5 linked regions of the Nothobranchius furzeri genome follow. The protein of the gene in region 1 interacts with the protein of each later gene in a pairwise test. Links are inferred from orthologs where the notes say so. Each region holds a gene or a part of one and is shown in the gene's direction. Other genes may lie near its edges.

Region 1 (4,053 bases):
GCAGTGAAGTTGTGGATATGTCGCGACAACCTTCCAGCAATGCTCTATGTGACGTTCTGGCAACGTCGTAGCGGAACTTCACTTTGGAAGTCGCTACTACGTAACATACGACGTTCCTGCAACATCGAATATAGTTTATGATCCTGAAAGAATAAACAACACTTTCAAAAACTTTTACCAAACTTTGTACTCACCACAGACAAACCCATCAGATGCCGAGCTCAATTAATTCCTTGACAGGATAACACTTCCTAAATAGACCCTTTTACTGTTTGTAAACAATATGACGTCAGCGAGAAGGCGCGCGCAGCTTGGCAACAGAGAATGGCGTTGTGTCAGGCTTTATCAAGCTACGCTGCGGGGTTATCACCGGCAAATCTTGAATGTTATATTATTAAACTCACTTTAACGAATCGCAACAGACTCCCGGATCCCTGAGGCATTACGGAATGGGTGGAAGATGTAGGTGCGTGGCCAGATATCCAGTGGCCCGATATATATACGTTTTTAGTGGAGAGGCCCAGTAAGTACACACGTGAGAAGCTACGGGCATACAAATCGTTAGATGCATACAACTATGTTGTCTGTGGCCACGTACAGAAAGTAAAATATCACCACATAGACTCTGAGTTTTGCATCTTGAAGGCAGAAGTCCTTCCTAGCCACAGACGCCTCTGATTTTGTTGAAATGGATGTGCTCCCTTTGGAATTCTGTAAAGTTTCAGTCCAGTGCTTGAAGAGAAGCGATTCTGGCATCCATACACGCAACAACCCGACATTTTTATGTGCTCAGAACTTCAAAACAAAGGGTTTAAAACGCTGTTTTAGTATTGAGTATGAATGAGGAAGCCTTCACTCTCGTTGCCAGGCTGCACGCGCAACTTTTGATGACGTAGGTAGTAAAAGGGTCTATTACCAGACAGCCAAGCTACAATACTGGACTCGCATGACAAGGTGTCAGAAAATACGTTGTGACTACGTTGTTGCAACAGACCTGTGTTGGTAGGGAACAATTACTAAAAGAAGGAAGAAAGAAAACATCTTTTATGTAGCACCTCTCAAAATAAAAATCATAAGGCGCTTCACAAAAACAAATAATTAAGATATAAAGATTTTTTTAAAAATTATGTTTAAATTAGAAAAAAAAATATGAGGAAAGGGAGAGAGAAAATGAATAGGAAAGAAAGAAGAGGCAGAAAGAAAAAAAACTTCTTTATAAAAAGCTGTAAGAAAAAAAATCTGTCTGCACAAAAATAAAACAAGAGTCATTACATATTAGATTGTTTTACGTTCTTTCAAAATAATGGTGTCGAATGTACTATTAAAATATGAACTTGCTTTTGTTATGGCCACGCCCCTTTCCTCGTGTCTAATGCCCGCCCCCGGCCTACGGAGTCAGGGGAAACGGAGTCGGGCGCTTTTAACGGGAGCGCCACCGGGGCTGGTCCGCTCCGTCCAAAGGTCCTTTGTAGCAGCAGCAGCAGCTACCTCTGACTAGCGGTTTACGTTAGCTCGGGCCGGCCCTGTTGGGTTGAGTTGGCTCGGTGTGTTACGCTCTTAAACCAGGTCAGTAAACATGGCGGCCACGAATCCCCGCTTCTCGAGTGACGGTGGGCCGGCCAGCAAAGAAGGGTTCCCGGCTGGAGAGAGCAGCAACGACCGAGACGGACCGGATGGAGGCGGCAACGGCGACAGCCAACGGGACCGAGCCTCGTTCGAGTGCAACATTTGTTTGGACACAGCCAGGGACGCTGTCATCAGCATGTGCGGACACTTGTTCTGGTATGAAACGGTTTTCATGCGTTTGTTTGGCCTCGGTTTACCGATATGTAGTCGATGGCAGAGACACGCCCCGCGACGTCCCGTCTGATCCGAGGCGACAGCGGCCAAAATGGCTCACTGTTCCTGTGCTGGGTGTCCGTTTACTGCCAGCTGGTTTTAGTGGCTCCTGGTGTGAAAGGATGAATGTATGTACTCCTGGTGTGAAAGGATGAATGTATCATGTTATCTGATTTAGTTCCGCCCCGCTCTGCGAGACACAAAAACAAACCACTTTTTCATCAGTTCATTCTGAGTTTGACTAAAATCACTTAATTATGTCACGTTTACAATAAAAATTCAGGCTTTTTTTTGGTGAGATCATTGTTTTTTTTTTTATTTTGGAACATCTGACATGCCAGCAAATCTAAAAATCTCATAAAATTGTTACTTTTTAGGATGCATCTTTTCTGTACCTAAAAGCTGCTTTTAGTGCTTTCTTCTATCAGTGTCACAGAAACTTGCACAAAACCTGACCTTGAAAACTTGTTGAAAATGTACACACAATCACAGGTGTGTGTGTGTGTGTGTGTGTGTGTGTGTGTGTGTGTGTGTGTGTGTGTGTGTGTGTGTGTGTGCGCGCGCGCGCGCGTGATTCACGAACTGTGTGCACTAATGATCTCTTAAGCTAAGGCTAGTGGGAGTTTATAGCCAACAAGTAGGATTGAGGTCAACTGTAGGGTCACTGTGATCAGAAGTGTGTGTGTGTTTGACTGCAGTTATTATTATGCATTTTCCTAAATCTGGACTTTTAAGCATCCTTTCTGGGTGACATTGCAGTTTTGCCTCTAAAGCGTGTGCACAACAGTTGTGTTTGAATCATTTTCCAAACCGAAGTAACCACAAACTTGTAGAGACTTGTAGAGCTAAAAATCTGGCAACTATTTTATGCACACGTCTTATTTATGCATAATTTCATGCACTCTTTGACTTTGGACTTTGTCTAAGGGGGGGGGGGGAATAGTTGAGCCGTAAATTCCCTCATGTTTATCTAAATGTTAATGTTTCTAAGTCTTTGGCTAGAAAACCCGTTTCTGGACTCTGGACATCTGGAATTTAGATGTTCTGTATTATGTTGATCATTTTTTGGTCATTGGGATAATTTCCTGCTGCACATTTGTGAGCGATGCAGTTGCTATGTTACGTCGGTCCTTCTGCTCCTGGGACTCAAGTGCAGTGTGATGAAACTTTTCAGCAAGAAGGACAAGAGCTGACATCAGTTAATCTGCTGCAACTTCAGATTAATCTTACAGCAGCGCATTAGTACAGTTAATTAAAACACACAGGGGGTTAAAGTTCAAATGTGTTAGAAGTCCCTGTAATTGTTGCTCTTAATTGGTCTTTGTGTTCAAATGGTTCTGAAATCATAAAACAAATGAGTTTAGCAGATAATGTTAGTTTGTGTCGACTAAAATGTCAATTCAGGTTGCAGAAATCACATCTTTATTCACTTTTTCTGGTCGATTTAACCCGTTTCTGTGTCTGTTGCCTTTGGACTTTGATCAGCTGTTTTGTGTTTACAGGAGCACACACACACACCCATCAGGTCATGTGACTCAGCTGGTTTCTGTTGTTTTCACATGACGTCATTTAAATAACTCGGTTTGAGTACTTCGCAGTCGTGAATACAGGATTAACTAATCCAAATCCCTGCCTTATTTGGAAATGATAAAAGTCAGTAAACAAACCAAGGACTTTTTAACCCTCCCACTGTCCTAACGGGTGACCCTGCGAGGAAAGTTGACCATAGAGCAGGATTGATGGCGGGAGGGTTGAGTAAAACACCTTCCTTAGGAGGGAGCGTTATGCTACCTGGGGACTTTGTGGACATGCTCTTCAACACATCTGTGGGTGTGGGTGTGTATGTGTGTGTGTGTGTGTTGGGAATTTCTTCCAAAATCATGGAGCACCAACATTATTCCCACATCGCATTAGCAGGTTGGCCTCTCCAACCTTTGATGACAGATGGAGCCAATTAAAACAAACGAATGGGAGCAGTACTGGTTTTAGGAGGTTTTTCAAGACTAATCTAATCCCAAAAAAATGAATCTGCTCAGGAAATGTCACAGATCTGAGCTGCTGTGAAAATGTAAAATAATCCCGTCTCTCTCTCTCTACAGCTGGCCCTGTCTTCACCAAGTAAGTACTTCCTCTCTCTCATCTTTTTACAGGCTGATTTAATCAGATCAGGCTCACCCAATCTCCTTTAATCCACATTAAATAATGTCTGTTGTT
Region 2 (3,994 bases), on another chromosome or scaffold:
CAGCAAAAGGTTGGTCATTATATGCCTGCCCTAAATGAACTGGTATGGAAATGAAACCATAGATAGACAACATCTGTATCATCTCCACTTGAACTCATCAGGCAGTGGGGTCAAATTAGGTGCTGTTAGAACATTAGTTTTATTAAACATTTATTTTACATGAAATACATGAGATTAATAATCTCTTGTGTCCCCGTCCCATTGGGAACACTTAAAAAAAGAACTAGGGTTAAAACAATCTAAAAAAACTGAAGTTTTCAACAAAATTCTGTAAGCTAAGTTTTTCGAAAAACCTGTGTGATAAATTAATTCTTTCATCTCAATGACAGGAGCCAATATTGTATACTTGTATAGCGCCTTTCAGACTCTGAGGACCTCATTATTATTATTATTATTATTATTATTATTATTATTATTATTATTATTATTATTAACAATCCAGTAATATTATTATTATTAGTAGTAGTAGTAGTAGTACTTGTACTACTACTACTACTACTACTACCACTACAACTATTAATAATAATAATAATAGTATTAATATTGATAATAATAATAATTAATAATAATAAATTAGTCATCCAAATAATGTTTGTGTTGACGTTGGTGAAACATGCATTACTTGTAGAAAATAAGCTTTTGTTTCTGTCCATAATTGTTTTGAAACTCCACCAAATCCTGATTAATTTGATTATTCTTAATATTTTTCAAGTTCAAGACAACCTGTGAGTTTTCCAAACGCAAATTCTGGTTACATAAGCGTTTTTTGGGGGATATTTTCAGTCATTCGATCCGAGCAGTTGGACTTTTGAATGAAAATGCTAGGGCAGCCCACTCGTTGATTGGTCCCAGTCACGTGACCCGATGCTGTGCTTGAACCATTCAAGTTGAATGATTCAGTAAACACTCAGATTAATACCTACAAGGAGTAGATAGCTGCTTCTCTAATTCTTGCTACTTTTTACATTAATAATTTTATCATGAGTGTTTTATTAGTTCTTATATTTGCTTATCTCTTAATTAATTTTTTTCTATCTTACCTTCTTCACCAAAATACCGCAGCAATTTCCTAATGTTGTGACTTGGCACACATATGGCAATAAAAACTTCTGATTCTGAGCGTGTAACTTTGATCACGTGATATGTCAACGATATTTTTTATAGGGATTACGTCACGGATCTCGATGTTGATTGGTTTCTGGAACTCAGTCCCGGAAGTAGCTAGAAGCGGAGACAGAAGCTTCTATTTAAAGGGGGATATATACTGGTGTAGTTTCTCCACGTGAACAGCTTCAAATGTCTCCTGGAGAGTGTCGCTGCGTTCAGCCCACCCCCTAACCCTCAGCCATTATAAGGTAAGGAGGTTTGACTTTAACCCGTTTTCCAGGACGGACCTCAGCTAGCTCACATGTACCAAACTAAGCCTCAGCTAGCTTTACCTCCACTTGTTCCCTAACTTACTTTTATTTAAGTGACGTGTTTAGTCATTTATTTAGTGCTGCAGCAGTTTGGTTCATGGGAGCAAGTGTTGCTGACAGGCTGAGGTCAAACACGCGATGACAGCATTTCCGGTTCTAGGGAAAAGTCCAAATCTCCTTCTGCGTCTCCTGACCTCTGCCCTGGACCTCATCTGAAAGTGTTAGAAGGCCGAAGAAGAAACCTGTGAGATTTAGGGGGAGAGGACAGACTAACGTGCATCTGTTTACGGCCGACCTTCGTCCGGTGTTGCGGTTTAACGTGGGACATTAATAAAGAGTCGGTGACCTTCCGGTAGCGTGGGTGGTCGCTGTTCTCTTGTTTACTGATCAAACCTGGAGAGTTTCAGCTCCAGCGTCTGACTCCTGTTATTATTTTAACTGCAACGTTTCCAGTCAGTCTGGTGTCTTCTGTTGTAATAATAATAATAATAATAATAGTAATAGTAATACTACTACTAATAATAATAATGTGTGTACTAGGTATTTATTATGACACATTTTCTTGGAGAGACCGTGAAACGTACTCGGTAAAATTTGGTACAGCAGGCCGACAGTTGTGTGTTTATGGGAAAACCGTTTGTGTTTCGTTTCTGTGGTCCTGCTGAAAAGTGCAGAGCTCCACATGCCACCTTTCTGTGTGCTAGACAGGACCCGCAGCAGTGTTTAGTTTGTGTGTTTTTCCTATTTGTCTGGAAAGGACACTGTAGTGGTGGTTCCTTTGTTTGTCAACTCACTTCATATTTTCCAACTTTAAAAGCCGCTGCTGCACTGTGGTAACGTTTCGTACGCTGGCAGAAGTTGTTCAGGGTCCAAACTTGAAAGCTGCGTTTTCTTCAAGGTTTATTTTCCAGGTTGGCAACACAGATCCTGTTTTCCATTGTTTCCTGCTGCTTCTCCTGCTCTGGTAAAAAACCATACGCACACCCCAGTGCATGCTGGTCCTATACCAGTGCCTCCTTATACAAAATACCCAGTGATTGTTTTCCTGACTGACTTACAAAGGTAAACAACAAAACAAACTACAAAAATAAACAACTATTAATCCACGAATAAACTTTATAAATGCTTAAAAAAATAAAGTGAACTAATCACAAATTTAAAGAAAATACACAACAATAACACATAAGGAGCTCCAGCAGACACTAAACTCTTCTAAAAGGAGCTCATGCACTTTTTTGTTTGTTTTCCCGGTTCAGTCTCACGGATGTCCCTGACTGACAACCATGAGCAACAGTGATCGGCGGCAGCGGCCGGGGTCCAAAGAGTCACACCGGTGCTCCTGGGGACCGTATATCTCAGCCATCACCAACAGGTAAGCCTTCAGAGTTGCTGGGTGGGTCTGTAATGCCCTGTTAGTACTGACTTACCAACATCACAGCATTTACATAGTTGGATTCTTCTAGTGAGAACCCTGAAGAGCCCGTTTTACAGTTGAATAACTCTGATCTACAACAGTGGGGTGTAACGTGTTTGTAGCATAAACTGTACCAAACACTGTGCCCTAAACAGATTAAAATTTACTTCACAATAAAAACAAAATGTCCTTCACTTTGCTATCCAGGACCACCAACTTGTTTATACGAGGGGGCATGCTGTTCTCTGTGGGCGTCTTCCTGGCTCTTGTGCTGAACTTACTTCAGGTGCAGAGAAATGTCACTCTTTTCCCTCCAGATGTCATCAGCAGCATCTTCTCCTCAGCATGGTGGGTGCCGCCCTGCTGTGGCACAGCCTCAGGTGTGTAAAAAGAAAAAAAGGCTTTAGCGTAGATGAGAGCAACACATCTAAGTATTTCGGCCCTGAGCAGTGCTCCCACCCCTGCTGGGAGAACTGAACCCTCCCTGTGAACGAGAAACCGATCATATCAGAGCCACATCCCTCATTTTAGCGTCCCCTTCTCTTTAGGGAAGTTAACAGCAACTTTTCAAACATTTGCATAGAAGCAGCAACATGATGACCCCCCCCCAACACACACACATGCACAAAGGTGGCAGATCCATTTGAGAAACACTGGACTGATATCACACCCCCTGCACTCTAGAGGGGAGGAATCCTCACCACCTAGTGACATTGTGGGATGGGGCTCAGGACTGGATTCGTGAATGTGATCTGTCCCCTGGGCAGGTCTCAGGCTGTTAGAAGGTCTCCATCAGCCACACTTGTAGAAGCTTGCAATAGCATAGCTGGTATGCATACACACATTTCCCTGTGGGATGTGTAACATGCCCGTCGGGCTTCAACACACGCACGCACGCACACACACACACACACACTGTGGAACTGAAGCAGTACTGTGCTTTGAGGCCCCAGCGAGGGCATCAGCATTGTGTTGACAGTGCTAAAGTCCGTTTAAACCCGCATTCGTTGAGTAGAGGTCACCCAGATGTAAGCTTTGCTGCAACTCCTAACACACTTCCTGATGCTAATTATCAGTATGTGCAGTAATCTTGGGACCAGTTCAATGGTAGGTAGCAGGATGACACACTCACTCTAAACTGATGGAAAAAATAATTAATCTT
Region 3 (4,199 bases), on another chromosome or scaffold:
GCTGCGTGGGCTGCCTCTGTTTGTGTTTAAGAAAAAATATAAAAAGATTGGGGGACGGGAGATTTTTCACCGAGTTTGTCTTTGTTCTCTGTTTTCAGGTACGAGCAGTGTCAGGGCTGATCTCCTATCCACATTTCATCCTCATCCACCTGTCACATTCTCTCACTTCACAGCTGCAACAAAGGCCTTTGTGAACAACGGAACGTCGGAGTTTGGACTTGAATAAAAACTTTTATGTTTATTGGAAATGCTTGTGGTTTTGTTTGGGTTTTTAATCTACATTAGCAGCTGCTCTTTGCAGGGGCGTGTCCAGAGAGTTCCCAAGGATAGCACATGCCACCCTTTGAGTCTGATTGGCCACCCCACTGAGTTTTGTTTAAAGATAAAGTCCCATTAGTCGTTATCACACACTGTTGAAATTACATCTCCACGTTTGAGCTATCCCTGTAGGGAGTGGTGACCTGCAGCAGTGGTTTGGAACAATTTGGCTATTCAATTCCCCAACCCAACCTCTTAAAGCTGAATGTCTAGCAGGGAGGCACTGGGTCCCGATTTTAACTCATTGATCTCCTAGTCCCAGTGTGGACACTAACCACCAGGCCCCTGAGAAGGTAACTTTACAATGTACAGAAAGGCTTGAGGTTACAAACCACAAGCTTGTACCTTAAACCAGGGGTTCCCAAAATATTTTCTTTGAGGACCCCCTTGCTGGTGTCCAAGACAAGCCAGGACCCCCAACCCCAAGTCCTACACACATACACACATTATGTGACCAGTTACTATCTTTATACAGAGGTATAACTTATACTTGGAGTTCTGTCATTATGTTATTGGGATTTTATAAATGTTATTTTTTCAAATGAAATCTTGTTAACCACACAACCATAGCAAAGACAAAATTGTTGGGACCCCCTGCAATCTTGTGGGGACCCCCTTGGGGGCCCCGACCCCCAATTTGGGAACCCCTGCCTTAAACAATGGTTTCTAGCCCCAACCTACAGAACCTTTCTGTATTATTGTTTATTTTGTTTTGTTTATTTCATATTGACATGAATAGCAGTTAGAGTACTGGTACCACTGCACCCCAGTTGGGAAGAAGAAGAAGAAGAAGAAGAAGAAGAAGAAGAAGACCATGGCACAATGTGGAGCTCACAAATTCACTAGAGTGCAAAAATATGTATTATTATTATTATTATTATTATTATTATTATTATTATTATTATTATTATTATTGCTGCTGCTGTTGTTGTTGCCAAGCATTTCAGATCACACCTTCCTGTATTTGTGTGTGTAACAGAGAATAGTTTTATAAAAGGAAACTTTTGTTTCTAAAATTACTGGATTGTCATTTTTCACCTCGCCGAATGTCGGAGCGCTTTCGCAGTTTCGACGGGAGTGGTCGGCGCGGGCTTCCGTCGAGATCGCAGTGGAGCAATGGCGGACTGGCTGTGGGTGCGCTGTGTTTTTGGGCCTCATCTTCAACGAATTCACCGGCCCCCGGACCAGCCTCGAACCGAAAGCAGGTCGTCCAGAAGGGTAGGAACGGACAGATGATGTTTTGAGTTGTTTTAGAACCGCGGAGACTGGAAAGGTGTTCAGTTTTATCGCTGCTTTTCTAGCTGATATTGAATCCTTGCTAGTGCTAACCCCGGAATGACAGTTTGAAATGAATGAAACTATAACAACACTCTTATTTATCTATTTAAAATGTCTGCCAGTTTTACCTTCGCTGTAAAATATTCACTTTAACATTAGCTTACGTTTTCTTGTTTTGACATTTTGAGAACAAAGGTTAGCCAAAAGAGAGTGTGATGAAACACATAATGGAAAAAGAGAACAAATGCAAAACAACAAGGGCTGAAAATCTTCTAAAATGTTAAAAAAAGCTTCTACATACCCAGAATGTGCTGTCTGCGTGACATGACTATGCTAGCTAAGCTAATGTCTGTTGTTCTCAGTTATAAAAACACTAAATACGGTTTTCTCTAACAGGGATTGAACTACCGACCCAGAGGTCTGGAAAAGCACACCGACAGCATTATTGGCTGGGTCTGTATTACATTCTATGTGATTTAGATGGAAGAATTTTAAATGAATTAGACTTAAGTTTGTCCTCGCTTTTTAGGCTTCAGTGCTGTGGTCCCTGTCCTACTACAGCTCCCCTCTTCTCCTGGGGTATCTGTACAGAAAAGGTTGGTCCAGTTACAGGCTTTCACTTTCACTATCTGCTGGTGCTTAACAACGGACAAAACTATTTGAATTTAAGTCGTTACTGATTTATAGGAAAACTACTTTCCTTTGAAGCTGCGTGGCAGATCCAGGATTTGTCAGAGTACAGGGCCATAAAAGGGCCATAATATTTATTGAGGGGCCAAGTAGTAAGTAGTGTTATTTGTGGAGATAAAACCGCAACATTGCAAAGCAAATGAAGTCAATGGAAGAGTCTTGTTGCAGTGTTGGCTCAAGATGGTGGCACGCACAGGTGCAGCAGCTCAGCGCTCTCTCTTTCTCTGTTTTGTTTGGGTACTTGTGTGTGTGAAGTGCTACTACTCACAATAATGTGCTGCTCAGCCTACACCATCTACAGCCGACACAATCTCTTACGAACAGGGCTTAACAGCGAGCAAATATTGAATTGTGTAAGACGAAAGCAACGTGACTGTTGTGTACACGTGGCATGTGTTTTTTTAATTAACTTATTTTTTAGCTAGGTTCTACTTTTAATGTTTTTTACTATTATTATTTTTCATGCTTCTTAGGAGAGAGTACTTTGAATTTTCGTTGTACTTGTGTAATGACAATGAAGGCATTCATTCATTCTGTTAGCCAATCAGAGGCGAGATAGCCGAATACCAGAAAATAAAATTCCAGATCCTGCCGGCTTCTTCTCCTCTCTGATCTAGCTCACTATACAAGTGTGTAGAAAAAAAACCCGAGTGAACTTGGTCTTTAAATAAACAAAATCCACTGTTATGGATATATTACAACTTCATTTTATATATATACATATATATACACATATGCATATATATATTCATATATGTATGTATATATATATATATGTATATATATATATATATGTATATGTGTGTGTGTGTGTATATATATATATATTATATATATGTGTGTATATATATACATATATATACATATATGTATAAATATATATGTATATATATATAAAATGAAATTGTAATATATCCATAACAGTGGATTTTGTTTATTTAAAGACCAAGTTCACTCGGGGTTTTTTTCTACACACCTGCAGTGGTCTCTATGTGAATAAATGCCTTGTGGGAAAACTCTGAGAGAAATAATCTCTGGCTTCCCTGTTTCATATATATGTATATGTATATATGTATATATATATATATATATATATATATATATATATATATACAGAAATTATCTAATTATTTTTCACAATAATCCATAATTTTTTTCAGATGAGGAGTTTGTATTAGCAAGAAACTGGAGATACGATATATTAACTATACGAAGAAGAGTGTGATACGATATACTAACCCTAACCCCATTACACACATTAAATTTAGTTAAACTTATCTTTGTTATTAAAAGAAAAAAATGTTTAACATGATATAGTTTTTACGTCGTGGTGTGCTGTCTTAAATTCACATGTTTAAATTCTGAAAGGGGTTTGTAGATGTAATTTAGTAAGATTACTACGGATGTCCCATTCCGATATCGGCCCAAAAACACTATGAGATTATATCGGACTGCATCAAAAACCTCCGATATAACAAGTCCGTTAAGGCTCACATTTTTGCAACCAATGGCTTAAAAAACATTTTCATTTTTTTTCATACTTACTGTTATTGGCTCTTGTTCTCTGATTGAGTACCGTATTTTCCGGAGTATAAGTTGCACCAGCCATAAAATGTATAATGAAGAAGTAAAAAACATATATAAATCGTACTGGACTATAAGTCGCATTTTAGGGTAAATTTTATTATTTTTCTTACAAAATCTGAGACAAAGCGTTTCACATTGCAAAACAAGTACTGGTAACAGTAACAGAATAAACAACCAGGGCGCAGCAGCGCGCCACGGTCTCCAGCAGAGGATGGCGGTGTTTCAAACCCTCACAGCGGACGGGGAGAGCTCATTCCTGGGCCGGAGCTCGCCACAGGCTGCAGCAGGTAATGGCAGGGCAGGAGCTTATTCCTGGTCCGGAGCCG
Region 4 (4,216 bases), on another chromosome or scaffold:
GAGAAGAGCTCGGCCTTTAGTCGTTCCTTTTCTTATCTGGATTTCATAATTAAATTTAACGGTTGTTTATTTTCGGGTTTTTCAGCTTTTTCACTGATCGGGATCCCCTAGCAAAGTAAAAAAAATCTGTTTTTCCTTTTTGAGCTCGATATCCTATTTATTACACGGAGTCATCTGTGAACTATTGTCCTACTAAATGTACACTCTTGACCTGCTGTGGGCTCATTCACCCATTTAAACAACAAACACCTTGAGGTAATCTATAATAGCTTCAGATGCAGGTTGAGATCTCTGTTGCTTTGTGGAAGCTTGTAGGAAAAGCTTTATTTTTTTATTAGATTTATGTAATAATGGTGGTGTAGCACTTAAAACTATGTGTGACAATATTTAAGTTTGGAATTACTGGATATATAGGTATTTGTCAGGTTATCTATTAGTTTAACCTGATCAGTCATTCAGTTCTTTATTGTTTATTTGTCTTTATTTACAAATGGCTCTTCTCTTATTTTCAGTTCTTTTCCTACAGGTTTTGTAAATCTTATGGTTTCAATCTAAGTGACCACAAGGCAGCAGTCTCAGCTGGTCTTTTGAAAACCCTGAATGCTAAATAAGCACCAAAGTCAAGAGTGAAACAAAAGTAAGCAGAGTACTGAAACACTATATCATTGACTGACTTCTGTTTAATACATTTCCATGTTTGTTAAAATATCATACCAATGAATTTGGATTGACAACGGCTATGTTTACTGTCTCGTCTCGGAAGGAAAAAGGTCATTCATTTGCTCAGACGTCTTGTTTCAGTGTTTGCATCTCTTCCTTGAAACTGGGAGACACTGATTATAATGTGAGTTTGATTCCCTTTGCTCATATTTCTGGAGCTTTGTCTCATGCTGGTGCTTCCTGTGTGATCTGAAGGTCATGGGTCATGTACACTGCAGAACAAATAAATCATTCGAAGAGTCATTTTTTTGTGTACTTGTTTTTTCACATACTATGTACGTATCACTTCATGCATCAGGGAATTTTGTACAAATTTTCATTCTGATTAGAAGAAACAACTTCACAACGACAAAAATTTAAAAATGAATGAAAATGATACAAAATAGCACAATGAGAAAACTAAAATGTAAGGAAGGAGATAATGAATAAAGTGATAATCAGTGGGTCCTGGCAATGGCAGAAATGGTAGAAAGAGCTGAATGAGGAGAGGGTAAGATGAAGGTCATGCTGAATAAAGATTGGATTTTATTTATGATAAAACATTTTTTGGTTTTGTGTCAGTTTTGACATCAAATTCTAGTAGCTCCAATCACTACAAAAATGCATAATTTTATTCGAAAATGTATCTTTCCTTTGTACGTTTTTGCATTAACAGGAACTTCAACTCCCAAAGTTCTCTGCGAGCGGAAAATTGACGGTATCGAGTCACGCGAGGAAGAAGATTCCTTCCGGTCCTCCACTTTGAACAAGCTGCCAAAACACATCGGGGGCTCAGTCTTTCCCCCAGATGGAGGTAGAAGGTAATGAAATAGTAATTTTCTGTTATTATAGTTTTATAATTTCTCTTAAAATATACAATGAAGTTTATTTGTCGTGATTAAATAAATACGCGGTCTGTTTTGAAAAATTATGGTTTCGTTTGTTCTCGCTAGCTTCCGTTGGACAGAGCTGCGATGGTGTTCTCTCAAATGAAATGAAATAAAAAAAAAACTCATCTCTCTTTTGTTGAAAAACGATGGGTTTACCACATCCTGCCTTTGTTCCCTTACATTCTCTGTCAGCAGATTCACCTCAACAGTTTAAAATCAGATCCTGTCAGCTAAAATTGCGTTTATTTGTGTTCGCATAGTGACGAAAAACGCAGGTGTGTTTAACTTAGACAGTAACTATAAAAGCTTTTACCTCTAAGATTAATTGTTTTAAAACCACTACACTTTCACTGTTATTTACCAACACTTTGGGGTCTAATCTTTGTCTCGTTACAGATCAACCATCAGCAGTAAATGGACTTACTGCTACTTGATAAGAACCTCCAGCTGCTTGCTGATCAATCTGCACATTCACTTCTATCTGCATCCAGGTGTCCTCACGCAGACTTTTAGGTTCACTGTACATTTTTCTAATGGCAATCAATACGGATATTGAGGACTGGGGTGGAATGGGCAGCAGTGACTCTGGGGAAAGAGCATGGCTCTTGCAGAGCCCCAGTGTGGATTCGGTCCCGCGCCCCGAGCTGGAGGAGAGAAACCAAAATGTGTCACCCCTGGGAGCGGTTTTCATTGTGGTGAATGCAGCACTAGGAGCAGGTCTGCTGAACTTCCCAGCAGCCTTCAGCATGGCAGGAGGAGTAACTGCAGGAGTGGTTCTTCAGATGGTGAGGACTCATCAGTCCTCCGTTTTGTTCAAGGCTTAATCTCTGCTGCTGTCAGCTGATGCTTTTGTGTTTTTGTTCAAATGTTCTGTTTCTGTGTTTCAGTTTATGTTGATCTTCATCATCAATGGACTTGTAATCCTTGGCTACTGCTCTGTGGTATGTACTCTTTTACTTAGTTTTACTTTTAATTGCAAATGGAACCCTAGACTTCTAACCCGTTTTGTCTGCCTTCATATTTTCTCCCACTTGTGGCTTAAAAGAAAAGATCCATTGTGAAACATTTTTTTCATTCTGTGCATCAAATGCAGAACTTTGCACACAAGTCAGGACTTTCAGTTCCTCAATCACTCAAATGTTCATGTGCTGAAACAAATGGTGGCAATAAAAAAACAGCAAATAGTCACTTTGATTCATTCTCTAGAGATAATTGAATGTGTGCAATGGACACAGAACATATCACCTGAACAATAACATAAAAACAAGGATCCTGCATCCTAAATTCCTACTTACTCATTAATTAATTTTAAGTTAAATAATTAACAGCGATGCTCTCCAGAAGAGCATCAATATGGCTGCTGCATGCTAAATGAGAGTAGGCATGCAAAATAAATGAGTGCTATTCCTCAGATGGAATACATTTTATGTCTGGACTGTTTTTTAAGCACCCTGGAAAAACTCCGTTAATGTCCCTCTCATACGGCATGTTAATTACATAACAATCAACGGAAAATAGTGAATGACAAACTTTTTGGTGTAAATTTGTTTGTACATATTAATAAACCATTAAAAATCATCTGGCTGGTTTCAGGTCAGTAATGAAGCCACCTATCAGGAGGTTGTTCGAGCCACTTGTGGAAAGGTCACAGGCGTCATATGTGAAGTCGCCATTGCTGTCTACACCTTCGGCACGTGCATCGCTTTCTTCATCGTCATTGGAGACCAGCTTGATCGCTGTGAGTGTATATAACCAACTCATGAGCTGCGTTGGTTTTGGTCACATCAGAGTAAAATTTGTAGAATGACCCTTTAATGGATTAAAATCAGCCTTTCCTCTGAGTTTACATGTTTTGCGTAGCAGCAAGTGAAACATAACGTCTTGTTCTGTCAATGACGAGGGCAAAGAGCATCGAGAATGACCCCACTCAGCATTTCTCTGTCAGTGTGCCTCTCATGTCACTCGGGCGTTCTTTCACCGAGATGCTGACTGAGTGGAAATCCTGATGTCTTTTACTTTATTTAAATTGTGCATGACTTTAATCATGTTTCAGTTTTCATTCTCCGTTCGTCCTCATCATGCTACGTTTCCCAGCCTCCCAAAGTCATGCAACTCTTGTTTACTGCTCCAGTGATCGCTGCAATGGTTCACAGCACAGACAGTGCAGCCGCCGGCCCCTGGTACACCGATAGAAAGTTTACCATCGTCGTTACTGCAGTCCTGGTCATCCTTCCTTTGTCTATCCCCAAAGAGATTGGCTTTCAAAAATATGCCAGGTAACGACATATCTAACAATCGAATCTACTGCTTTTTTAAACTCCGATTTATCATTTTTCTAACTTTTAAACTCTTTGCTAACCACATCTGCTGTAGTGCCCTTAGTGTGATGGGAACCTGGTACGTGACCATCGTGGTCATTGTGAAATACATCTGGCCGAGCAAAAACATGTCTCCAGATTACGTCTCAACCAGGTAAGTCCTAGCATATATTTCCATCCTGGAGTTTGTAATAAAACAGCAGCACTGTCCGAACCCTCTGCATCAGGCGTATCTATTTTTTTTATTTTTATGTTTGCAGTTCATCTTCCTGGACTGCAGTTTTTAACGCTATGCCCACCATATGTTTT
Region 5 (3,513 bases), on another chromosome or scaffold:
ATATTAAAGATTAAAGTCCCATAGTTGTCACTAGGGCTGCACAATATATCGTAAATATATTGTTATCGCGATATCAGCTTGCACAATATGCATATCACAAAGAACAGATAAATATCGCAATGAATGATCAGCTCAAATGTTTGCTACACATAATGCATTCTGTCAATCAAATGGAAGCCTGATGTTTTTTTTAACAAATCAAATAGAGCTCTTCACCCATTTGGCCAAAAGGGTGGGTTCTCATAGATTAGATGCCCGCCCCTGAGGCGGACAGTACTTAATTTTGATGGTTAGCAAACACATGAGTTAGCTTTGTTCTGCTCTTTTTGCTGATTCTGCTTTTCCTGGGATCCACTGATTACCTTTTCTTGTTCATTATCTTTTTCCCTTTCCTCACATCTTTTGCTTTTCTCGTTTTTTTTTTTCTTCTTTGTTTTTGATTATTTTTGTTCATGAGATAAGTTTTTATTTATTGCAAGTAATATTGTTATCGCAATTTAATCATTGTTATCGAATATAGCCGGTTTTCCTAATATCGTGCAGCCCTAGTTGTCACACACACTTGTGTGGGGAGGCGCGGTGTGCTGCAGACACGGCTGCGCTCGGGAACTATTTCGTAGTTTAACCCCCCAATCCAACCCTTTAAAGCTGTGTCAAGCATTGGGTCCCATTTTTAAAGGCCAAGTAAAAATGCCTTTGTTACCAAGACGAGACCAAGCACATATAATATTAATATCAGATAAGGAGAAACAGCCAGCTGCTACCACTTCAACTTAAGGACAAACTACCAGAGTCCCAAAAAGAAAAAACACCATTTGAAGTCACAGACACCAAAGATGTTTAGGCATAGAAAAATGTGATTGTTGATTTGTGCTCTCCCATTTACTCTGGCAATGCGCATTCCCGTATTGGGGGGCGTGGCCTAGCCGACGGAGGTATGAGAGTCTTTTGACTGTGTTTATATGGAATGGCCAACTTGCTGTGCTGATTTGGTAAAGCAGCTTCAATACCAATGGTTCAGAAAATATGATTACCACCCCTGTAACGTTTATATTCGACAGTAAACATTTGGGTAACCTGTGTTCTTTATTGGGGCACCGGGGGAATGTTTTAGTCATCATTGTCCTTTTTTGTTTTTAGGTGGATTGTAGATATGGAGGGAGCGCCCGGTACACTCTATGAAGGAGAGAAATTTCAGCTGCTATTCAAATTTAGTAGTCGATATCCTTTTGATTCACCTCAGGTAAGAGCAAAGGGTGTGTGTGTGTGTGTGTGTGTGTGTGTGTGTGTGTGTGTGTGTGTGTGTGTGTGTGTGTGTGTGTGTGTGTGTGTGTGTGTTCGCATATTTAAATGGGTCCTACAATTCAACAACCACTTTTACCTTGTTGTTGAATAGAGGCAACTTGAGATGTCTATGTAGCGTACCAAAAAGTCTGCAACTTGTAAATTAGTAAAGTTGTAATGGTCACGGAGAAACGGTTCATCCTGACAAAAACTGGTTTAACGCGTCATAAGCATAGACGCACCTCCCTACATTAGCATGCTCCAACCCACTTCAACATCCGCAATGAATAAACTTTGATCTCAGTAATGCTAACTGCAGAAAAATGCTAGCCCGAGCTACTGCTAATGTTCTTATAAACAAAGGGAAAACACATGTAACGTTCCAGGATGTACAGGGTATATCCAAACTTATAATGAATGCCAGATAGATCTGTAGCTTTCTATTGAATAATATGGATATTGTACACTGCTGTACAGAGATTCTAGCTTGAGCAGTGTCATTGAGCCATTAAACCAGCCAATCAGCATGCAGCTCATTTAATATTCATTATCAGAGCTCCTAGGGCATTGTGGACCCCAACAAAGTGTCATGTGCTTTATATGGCGCTTGCACACTAGCGTCGTAACGGTCGGGGTTTGGTCGGGCAGGATGGCGTGAGTTTGGGCTGGTATGGTCGGTGTAGTGTTTACATATTAATCCGAGGAACTTCTCAAGATGCGGAAATCCCCAAGCCTGTGGGGGGCGCTTAATACGCGCGGGAAAGTCCGTTCCATAAGGTACCAAAAGGCGGACATGAGCTGTGTTGCTTTTGGAGACTCTGAACCACATTATTTTATTAATTTACTCTGTGTCCCCTCATAATCTTGTGCCGCCCACCCCCTGATTTCTCCCCTGAGCAGCTGTCTGCTTGCGAGGGGCAAGAGCTCCGATGCGGAGAATGGGAGCATGCATGCACACACACACACTCAAACAAAGCTATTCTTTTCTCCCGCTCCCACACTTAATAGCAGCTCCGGATCGGCAGCTCCGTGCAACAGACAGAAGTTAACTCAACAGCATCCAGCATGAAAATGAACCGCACATGCAGGAACCCCCGGCTGGCTGATTCTTCTCGCAGATCGGAGGCGGTAGGCGTAATTTCAGCCGGCCAGTCAGTCCGTAGTGTCGCCTCGGTCCCAGTCTGACCGCTGGGGAGAAGGTCTGGGAAAAAGTCGCCTCGGCACTGAAAACGCTAATCGGACCGGTGTGTGAAACCAAATTCCGGTGCCGTTCGGTACCTTATGGGCCCGTACCTACGCTAATGTGTAAGCGCCAATAGAGGCTCAAAGAAAAGCTGTTGTAGATCCACGTTTGTGGATCTTTATCCATACCATACCATACCAAGTTTATTTATAAAGCACATTTAAAAACAGCATGACAGCTGACCAAAGTGCTGTACAGTAGTAGTAAAAGGAAAACCCCAAGATAAAAACAAGATAAATATCATAAAAGAGATAAAAGGGATAACCTAAAAATGTAAAAGAAACATACTAGAGTAAAAACAAAGTCACAATAAAAACAATGCTAAAAGGTTAGCACATTTCAACAGGGAAGATTCTATAACAATAAAAGCTTGGTCATTGATCAAAAGCTAAATAGTAGAAGTAGTCCTTCAGTACAGACTTGAATCAACCCAGTTCTGGGGCCTGTCGAACACTAAGGGTGAGAGCATTCCAAAGTTTAGGAGCAGCGAACACAAAGGCCCGCTCCCCACGAGATTTATACTTCATTTTTGGGATGTACAAAAGTAAATGATCTGCTGATCTCAGGGTTCTGGGTGGAACATGAGGCATGAGCAGTTCTGACAGATGAGCAGAGGCTTGACCATTCAGGATGTTGTAAACTAAGGTTAAGACCTTAAACTGGATACGATATTTAACCGGCAGCTAGTGCAAGCGTGCAAGGACAGGTGAAATGTGACAGCGTCAAGAGGTGTTTGTCAGGAATCTAGCCGCTGCATTCTGCACTCTCTGAAGCCTTATCCAGCCTAGTTGAAAGGGTCACTCATTTCTTACACTGTCTTAGCTTCAGTTTTCTTTTATGATGTTTTGACAGTAATGTTTGAATTCAGCATCACTAGATGATCCGATATTGGCACCTATCTGTTAAGAGTTCTGCAGCGGGGGCACTAAAGCCCAGAGGACCACTTTTCTAAACTTAAGTGGAAAAACTTTTGTGTCTACCTTATG

The links.
Region 2: the proteins of rnf5 (region 1) and insig2 interact in binary tests that used the Homo sapiens proteins (3 or more experiments, as listed by UniProt). The two-hybrid records come from large-scale screens. The link is inferred for Nothobranchius furzeri from reciprocal best matches to the Homo sapiens genes RNF5 and INSIG2.
Region 3: the proteins of rnf5 (region 1) and abhd16a interact in binary tests that used the Homo sapiens proteins (3 or more experiments, as listed by UniProt). The link is inferred for Nothobranchius furzeri from reciprocal best matches to the Homo sapiens genes RNF5 and ABHD16A.
Region 4: the proteins of rnf5 (region 1) and slc38a7 interact in binary tests that used the Homo sapiens proteins (3 or more experiments, as listed by UniProt). The two-hybrid records come from large-scale screens. The link is inferred for Nothobranchius furzeri from reciprocal best matches to the Homo sapiens genes RNF5 and SLC38A7.
Region 5: the proteins of rnf5 (region 1) and ube2wb interact in binary tests that used the Homo sapiens proteins (3 or more experiments, as listed by UniProt). The link is inferred for Nothobranchius furzeri from reciprocal best matches to the Homo sapiens genes RNF5 and UBE2W.

What each region holds. Positions count from the first base shown.
Region 1 is NC_091759.1:8,560,392-8,564,444, reverse strand, and holds the start of rnf5 (E3 ubiquitin-protein ligase RNF5), read left to right. Parts: upstream 1-1,246; 5' UTR 1,247-1,576; coding exon 1,577-1,782; intron 1,783-3,938; coding exon 3,939-3,957; intron 3,958-4,053. UniProt on the Homo sapiens protein: Membrane-bound E3 ubiquitin-protein ligase that mediates ubiquitination of target proteins. May function together with E2 ubiquitin-conjugating enzymes UBE2D1/UBCH5A and UBE2D2/UBC4.
Region 2 is NC_091754.1:36,998,987-37,002,980, reverse strand, and holds the start of insig2 (insulin-induced gene 2 protein), read left to right. Parts: upstream 1-1,193; 5' UTR 1,194-1,355; intron 1,356-2,351; exon of another isoform or gene 2,352-2,480; intron 2,481-2,674; 5' UTR 2,675-2,701; coding exon 2,702-2,790; intron 2,791-3,039; coding exon 3,040-3,212; intron 3,213-3,994. UniProt on the Homo sapiens protein: Oxysterol-binding protein that mediates feedback control of cholesterol synthesis by controlling both endoplasmic reticulum to Golgi transport of SCAP and degradation of HMGCR.
Region 3 is NC_091745.1:74,550,516-74,554,714, reverse strand, and holds the start of abhd16a (phosphatidylserine lipase ABHD16A), read left to right. Parts: upstream 1-1,387; 5' UTR 1,388-1,434; coding exon 1,435-1,536; intron 1,537-1,992; coding exon 1,993-2,049; intron 2,050-2,125; coding exon 2,126-2,192; intron 2,193-4,199. Other genes in the region: g6fl (g6f-like), read left to right, coding at 174-222. UniProt on the Homo sapiens protein: Phosphatidylserine (PS) lipase that mediates the hydrolysis of phosphatidylserine to generate lysophosphatidylserine (LPS). LPS constitutes a class of signaling lipids that regulates immunological and neurological processes.
Region 4 is NC_091749.1:57,963,290-57,967,505, reverse strand, and holds the start of slc38a7 (sodium-coupled neutral amino acid transporter 7), read left to right. Parts: upstream 1-1,416; 5' UTR 1,417-1,520; intron 1,521-1,985; 5' UTR 1,986-2,122; coding exon 2,123-2,374; intron 2,375-2,476; coding exon 2,477-2,530; intron 2,531-3,182; coding exon 3,183-3,327; intron 3,328-3,720; coding exon 3,721-3,865; intron 3,866-3,962; coding exon 3,963-4,061; intron 4,062-4,167; coding exon 4,168-4,216. UniProt on the Homo sapiens protein: Symporter that selectively cotransports sodium ions and amino acids, such as L-glutamine and L-asparagine from the lysosome into the cytoplasm and may participates in mTORC1 activation. The transport activity requires an acidic lysosomal lumen.
Region 5 is NC_091747.1:53,051,286-53,054,798, reverse strand, and holds part of ube2wb (probable ubiquitin-conjugating enzyme E2 W-B), read left to right. Parts: intron 1-1,140; coding exon 1,141-1,243; intron 1,244-3,513. UniProt on the Homo sapiens protein: Accepts ubiquitin from the E1 complex and catalyzes its covalent attachment to other proteins.